2 linked regions of the Callithrix jacchus genome follow. The protein of the gene in region 1 purifies or fractionates together with the protein of each later gene. This does not show direct contact. Links are inferred from orthologs where the notes say so. Each region holds a gene or a part of one and is shown on either strand. Other genes may lie near its edges.

Region 1 (3,645 bases):
TGTGAGCCACTGCGCCCAGCCAAAAAATAATTTTCTAAAAGAATGTGGTAGTCACTAATATTAATAGCGACCCTATATTAAGCACTTAATGTATGTTCTATGCAATGGAGATTACCCATATTTTGCAGGTAAGGAAACGGAGGTGCAGACAGGCCTATGAAGCTTTATTTTGATTTGAGCCTCCATGGTTGGTGAGGAAGTTGCCTGGGCTGGGTAGAACACCTGTGAGAGGTTCTGGAGATCTGGGAGGCCCCCATCATCAGTTAACCTCTATGCTTTTTTTTTGATTATGGAGTCTTGCTCTGTCACCCAGACTGGAGTGCAGTGGCTTGATCTCAGCTGACTACAACCTTTGCTTCCTGGGTTCAAGTGATTATCCTGCCTCAACCTGAGGAGATGGGACTATAGGCATGTGCCGCCATACCTGGCTAATTTTTGTATTTTTTTAGTAGAGACAGGGTTTTACCATATTGGCCAGGCTGATCTCGTGATCTGCCCACCTTGGCCTCCCAAAGTGCTGGGATTACAGGAGTGAGCCACTGGTCCTGGCTCCTATGTCTACTTTTTAGTAGGTCTCCTATATTAGTGATAGATTGTCCTGGACTGTTGGGCTCTTGGATGAGTGGTCACATAAGGGGTGTTACTCAGGGTCCCCATGGTCTTGGCATAAACTTGTGCAGCCCTGATGATGGGATATGTTTGTTTCCTAGGCCAAAATCAAGCAAAAGCTGCGGGAAATTGAAGAGAATCAGAAGCGGATTGAGAAACTGGAAGAATACATCACCACTAGCAAGTATGTAGCTCTGCAACTGTCCCCCTTACTTCTAGGCCTGTTCTTGTGACCCTGCCTGTCCTGCCCCTCTTCACAAAGGACCTCCAGAGCCTCTCTGAGCCAGAAGTGTTTTCTCACCAGCAGGAGTAATTCCTATGTGCCCTCACTTTGTAGGCAGTCCCTAGAAGAGCAGAAGAAGCTAGAGGGGGAGCTGACAGAGGAGGTGGAGATGGCCAAGCGGCGTATTGATGAAATCAATAAGGAACTGAACCAGGTGATGGAGCAGCTAGGGGATGCTCGCATTGACCGACAGGAGAGCAGCCGCCAGCAGCGAAAGGCAGAGATAATGGAGAGCATCAAGCGCCTTTACCCTGGCTCTGTGGTAAGAGCGGAGAGGGAACTCATTTCCTGAGCGCTTAGACTCACTGTCACATGATTTTCCCAGCAGCCCTCTGAGGACAGGGTTGCCAGTCCCATTTTTATTGTTGTGGGAATTGAGGCTTGGCGAGGTTTAAAAAAGCAGTACTTCTAAATGAAAGAACTGTAGTACAGACCCAACATGTTCTCCTAAGCTCATGTTAATTTTTTTTTTTTTAATTTTTCAAATGAGTGCCTGTCATACTAGGCACTCATGTTCTTTTCATCATACCAATTGCATCTTTCTGAAGGGTTTGTTTTGCTGTGTCCATGCCTCTGGGAGAGGAATTGGAAAACCAGGGAAGATTTTGGAAGCATATGGGGCCACAGGGCTGGAATTACTCTCCCAGGAGGTAGCTGTGTGCGGTCTTCTATATGGGCTCCCTTGGCATGTACTAACCAGCCCAGTAGCTTTTAGGGACACCCTGAGCTTTATCAGATCTCTTGATCTTTTGGCCTCTTTCACCAAATCCTGAGTTCCCAGGTTCCCTGAATATTATGCCATACTTGGGTTCAATTTAGTTGGGTTCCACAAAACTCTTCTAGGCACTGCTGGGGAGATAAGTATGAATTAGAGTCGGTCTCTGCCCTCTTATGTGATAGTTCTTAGGGAACCAGGCTTGGCTTTGGAGGCTGCAGGAAAGGAACTGGTAAAAGATATTTATTTTGAGATGGAGTCTCACTCTGTTGCCTAGACTGAGTACAGTGGCGTAGTCTTGGCTCACTGCATACTCCACCTCCCAGATTCAAGTGATTCTCCTGCCTCAGCCTCCCAAGTAGCTGGGATTACAGGTACCCACCACCATGCCCAGATAATTTTTTTGTATTTTTAGTAGAGATGAGGTTTCTCCATGTTGGCCAGGCTGGTTTTGAACTCTTGACCTCAAGTGATCCGCCTGCCTTGACCTCCCAAAGTGCTAGGATTACAGGTGTGAGCCGCCACACCCAGCCGGATTTATTTTGCTCAGGGCCTAAGAGAATTTGAAATAATAAATATAAGATATTTGGCATAGTGCCTGGGTGACAGCAGTGTGTAAAATGGTAAATGTGAGGTTTAGAAAGATGATTTTGGATTCAGACACGACTGCCTGAAGTCATTGCTTGGGAGCCAGAATAGGCTTTTGCTTTATAGCATGGGAGCTGTTTTCTTCTGTGAGACAGGAAAAAAACCAAAGTGTTTTTTCTACTCTCACACAACCAGCACAACACTTCACTTCTGACACCAGAAGTGTGGGGGTTTTTCCTCACACACCAGCAATTCTCCAGCAGACACCAGCTGGGTGACCTATAATTCAGTTCAACTCTAACACTGTTTATCTAGAGATAGCATCAGATCCCACAGGTTAGGGGCTCAGTCCAAGATTTCAGATGCCAGTTGCAAGTCTCACATTGTGACTTGTGGTTCTGACTGACCTATAAATTACAGTTCCTGAGAGTCCCTGCCTGGGTTCAATTAATTTACTAGAGCAGCTCACAGAGCTCAGGAAAATGTTTTACTTACATTTACCCATTTATTATGAAGGATATTACAGAGGATACAGAGAACAGCCAGATGGATGCATAAGGTAAGGTATGAGAGAAGAGGTGTGAATCTTCCAAATGCCCAATCTGGCAAGCCACCCTCCAGGTACCTTCACACAGGTGTTTCATTATGTAGTCATGATTGATCAAATTATCAGCCAACAGTGATCAGTTCAACCTTCAGGACCCTCTCCCCTCCTGAAGGTTGTGGAGGTGGAGCTAAGAGTCCCAAATCTAATCAGGCCTTGGTCTTTCTGGTAACCAGCCCCTATCTAGAAGCTGACTATGGGCCTCCAGCCATAATCGTCTCATTAATGTGCAAAAGACACTGCTCATTTCCGAGATTCTAAGGGTTTTAGTTGTGTGTCAGGAACTCTGGTGTAGAAGACTAAATATGTATTTCATAATACCACAGTCCACTCTGGTCTTCAAACACAGATCCCTTGCATCAGAACAATCATGTAATGTAGAAAGAGGCAGGGAGCAGTGGCTCATGCCTGTAATCCAAGCACTATGGGAGGCCAAGGTGGGCAGATCACCTGAGGTCAGGAGTTCGAGACCAGCCTGCCAACATGGTCAAACCCCTGTCTCTACTAAAAATACAAATATTAGCTGGACATGGTGGCGGGCGCCTGTAATCCCAGCTGTTTGGGAGTCTGAGGCAGGAGAATCGCTTGAACCCAGGAGGCAGAGGTTGCAGTGAGCTGGGATTGTGCCACTGCACTCCAGCCTGGGCAAGAGTGAGACTGTCTCAAAACAAAAAAACAAAAAAGGTAGAAAGATACTGGCATGTTAATAGAATTGCGTTCAGTCATAATTAATAGTTAGTCCATGATATCATGAATATGTCTTTTAGGGCAAGGCCATTCAGGTTTGCAGGCTTCTATTCAATCTCATTAGCTTCCAAAACCAGGAGTGTTCTCAGCAAACATAGC
Region 2 (4,073 bases), on another chromosome or scaffold:
TTTTAAAAAATGGAAATAGATGATTAGCCACTGGTGAATATTCCAACCAACAGAGGAGAAGCAGAATAGACTTATCCTCTTTAGGGAAACAAATTATTTTCTCCAACTAGGTTACTACTTTAAATTTTACAATATGAATTTTACACAATGTTTTCTCCTTTAAAAATGACGTATTTAATTGGCGTGAACCAAACAAAACATATTTTGAAATTTAAAGAAATTTGAATTGTAGATATAATGAAAGCTACCACACAACCTATATTACTTACAAATTACTTAATATGTAGAATTGGGAAAACAAATTGCGAAGAACTAATTCACGATAACTTAGTTCCAAAGTCTTAAGAAAAAATGAATCAGTCATATAAACCCAATATCTAACGCACTTATTCAAATATCTTCCTAAGACAACCTCTAAAAATAAGTTGCTTCAGTTCATGAAAACCAAGCAAGCAGAACTCCTCTTTTCATTATCTTTAGAAGAAATATGTTTATCCCTTGATATACATCTTAGTATTTTAATTAAATAAAAGTTGTAGAGATAATCACAGGAATATATGAGGGCCTTTGAAACATTTATATGAAGTCCTTATCACCCCCATCACCAAAAAAGCAAACCCTCTGCTTTCTTAAGATGTGTTCTCCCCGTCTGCATTCCCTCCCTGGCATGCCCCCCACTCGCACACCCCCCACCCGCAGTAGGCCTGAGGCCCCGTAGCAAACAGTGTCTAACAGGAGCAGGCAGCACAAAGACAGGAATGGGAGATTAGTGGGAGGGAGGGAGGCCGGGATTGGGGCTCAGCAGGAGCTTCAGGCTTTTTAAAATTCAAACTGCTCCCTGACCAATACAAATCACGGACACGCTACTGACTACTACACGGATTTATAGCATTAAAAACATGCCTAGTACGTGACAGCTATATTAACTTCATTCTTTTAAGCATTTATCCGTACATTTGCAGGAAGTGTGGAACAATTTATTGTAAGCAGGACGCTAAACTAAAAAATAACCTTCACAAAGTAACTCACTCTACAGTGACAATAATTTAATGACACAAAAAATTTGAACCAATGTAACATAAACTAGTAAAACAAGAGATTTCGCTGAGCAGTGCCACTTGATTTTAACCAGAGAAAGTTTTCCTTCAGCGAATATGAAACAAAGTATCAAAATAGTGTAACCCAGGTACATTTTCCTAGCAATTTGCCTGAGGAATTTTTAATTGATGTTTCCCCCTTATACCAACTTATATTACGAACGCCTCCATAAATAAGCTCGAAACACGTAACTTACTCATGAACTAGAACTTGTCAAGTTAGAACTGACATTTTTCTCCAGCATTTACAGATACATTTGACCTATTAAAATGACACCTCTCTCATTACACAGTCAAACATCATGGCACAAACAGCCAATGACAATCCTGGGACCTCAAGAAGAACTGCCCTGACATGAAAGGATGGCACCTTCTACAATTTTTCAACCTCCCAAAGATTTTAAGTGTAACTTAATTTTTTCTTCTTCCTTTTTTTTTTATTCTTAAAAGAAAATTGGTTTTACCCGTATCTCAGCACAATTCTGAGAACACTTAAAATTCTTTTTATGCTCCTACACCTTTTGGTCAGGAAGTACCTGAGTGTTTTATGTACAGTCGTTTAAAACTGCCCTTACATAACGCATACAAATAGAAAGTGGCAGAGTAAACCTGTCAAGTACTTTATACTCGTCTTTGAATAAAAAGTCCATGGGCAACAACACACTGTCAAACAAGATAAAAAGCTCTTGGAGGGGGAGATGTGCAGTGTCTACCATAGTATGGTTTTATGTATTAAATATTCATGCGTACGATTTAATTCTTCAAAAAAGAAAATGAGTCTTTATGAACTTTCCAACGTCCAAACAAGTTTTACAAAGAGAAAGAATTACCTCGGGATCCGTGTCTGAGTATTTACGTTTGTCTCACTAACTGAAACTACTTCCTCCCTTCATGGGGTCACAGGGGGAAGAAGGGGGGTTGTTTGTTTCACTGGGACGTTCCCCACTCCCGGACCGGGAAAGTTGTAAATATGGGGACGGTCAGGGCACATTTGCTGTTAGTTGTATTGTTTCCGCCTCCTCACTAGCTACAGCTCCTCTCCCGGGCGAGGCCTGTCACCGACCAGCAGTCGCTCCGCTCAGCCCGGAGCTCTCCTAATCCCCGAGCTCAAGTAGATTCCGCTGGCCCGCGGCCTGCACTCTCCGCCGGGCCTACGCCTCCCCGGCCGCCCGGCAGGAGCCCAGTCCCCGCCACCGGAGCCGGCCGGGAGAGGGTACAAAACCACCGCCACCCAAGGCGGCTGCCACCAGAGAGGAGCGAACTCTAGACTCGCCCGTGGAAGAGACCTGGGGCCGCTAAGGAAACGGCGGGGAGGGGAGCGAGGAGGAGAGACGCTGAGGACCTGGCGCCGCCGCCGCCGCCGCCGAAATAAAGAGCAGGAATTTACCTGGGCGAATCGGCGTCTGAATCCAAGGGGAGGCCGAGGCCGCTGTGGCGAGAGACTATAATCCGGGCCGGGAGTGGGGGTGGCTACGGCTCCTCTTCCGTCTCCTCAGTGCGGGGAACATGTAGAGCCGGGGGGAGACCAGCCGAGAAGACAAATCGTTGCTTCTTCTTCCTCCTCCTCCTCCTTCTCCCACATAGAAACACTCACAAACACCCGACCAGGGGCCCGAGCTACCGGGGGGGCATCGCCGCGGGCCCGGGAACCAATCCTCCTGTCGGCGGGGGCGTCCCTCCCTGCGGCTTGGTGGTGTCGGGTGAGTCGGTACCGACGGAGGGAGGGGGGGGAGGGTGGGGGGAAGGAGCCCTGTGTGTGTCTCTCTCTCGTTCCGTCTCTCCCTCTCAGAACAAAATGCCGACCGGAAGTGCAGCTGCAGGAATGACTCCCTCCGCCGGCGCCAAACACTAACAACCACCCCCTCTTCCCCACTCCACTTCCGCCACCGCCGCCGCCGCCGCCGCCGCCGCCACTGCCACTGCCACTTGGGCTCGCGTCCTCGGCAGTGCCGCGCCGGGGCCCAGCCGGGCGGCGGCGGCTCTCCTCTAAGCCCTTCTCCTCAGGGCGGCTGTGGATGTTGCCAGTATTGTCGATGCTTCAGAGCTACGTTTGCCCCGCGACACGGGCGGGTCGGCTCTTCTCGGTCTTTATTTTCCCGGAGGCCGATGGGAGCGAGGCCCGAGTTCGGCAGTGGTCGTGAGCGTGGGGGGCACTCAGGCACGGACGTGCTCGCAGGTCGCCGACGGCGGCGGCTGGAGGCCGCGCTGGCTGTCCCAGATCGTCGTTAGCTTAGGGAGCGGAGCTCTGGGCGGCCCCACAGAAGACGCTCGCCATTCGACGGCGATGGTGCCGGTTTTAAATGGTGTCCCTGCAGCCGGGTGGATGGATGGATCGTACGTACTCTTCTCCTTTTGAGGCCAGGATCTTACGCCCTTCTGCGTGTTAATTTCTGCGGAGTAAGAACGCAGCCCTTGGAGGTGAAGACGATTCTCGACTGGACTGAATTGGAATGGTGTTTGTGATACGTTTATTTCTGGAAATGCGCGGTGTCCGCTGCTCTTGATTTTTGTCGGCGGAGGTTTGGGTTCTTCGCTAACAGCAGGGATAAAGGCCTGTAGGCGACGCTGCGCTGGCGCGAAGCTGGGCTGCGGCGGCCCGACCCGGCGCCCGCCTCTAGGTGTGGGTGGAGCCGAGCACGCGGGGAGAACCACCGGCCCCTACTCGGCCACCGGCGACTGCGGGCGACCGGCGGGACTGCAGCCAGCTGATTTCAAACATCGTTTTCCTCTTTAGGTTTGGAACACTGAGGCGCTGGACAAGGCTGGAATACAAAATGTAATATACGTGCAGTACCGTGCCTGTTGTAGTTTTTAAATTGTAAAACAAGAAGTAACTCCGTCGTTCCACAGTTCTCTATTAAATTTGTGTAAATTAAAAGGGGGCTATTCTTCAGGTTAAAAAGTGCAGTAGGTAAGCGGATTTTTACTCAACCGGGACGAAATTCATGTTGTATGAATTGTATTATTTGTGTGTGT

The links.
Region 2: the proteins of SMC1A (region 1) and NIPBL purify together in Homo sapiens (affinity purification with mass spectrometry; 3 studies listed by BioGRID and IntAct, with this or other methods). This does not show direct contact. The link is inferred for Callithrix jacchus from reciprocal best matches to the Homo sapiens genes SMC1A and NIPBL.

The regions. Positions count from the first base shown.
Region 1 is NC_133524.1:53,761,587-53,765,231, reverse strand, and holds part of SMC1A (structural maintenance of chromosomes protein 1A), read left to right. Parts: intron 1-710; coding exon 711-793; intron 794-946; coding exon 947-1,154; intron 1,155-3,645. UniProt on the Homo sapiens protein: Involved in chromosome cohesion during cell cycle and in DNA repair. Central component of cohesin complex. The cohesin complex is required for the cohesion of sister chromatids after DNA replication.
Region 2 is NC_133503.1:168,714,877-168,718,949, forward strand, and holds the start of NIPBL (nipped-B-like protein), read right to left. Parts: upstream 2,895-4,073; 5' UTR 2,485-2,894; intron 1-2,484. UniProt on the Homo sapiens protein: Plays an important role in the loading of the cohesin complex on to DNA. Forms a heterodimeric complex (also known as cohesin loading complex) with MAU2/SCC4 which mediates the loading of the cohesin complex onto chromatin.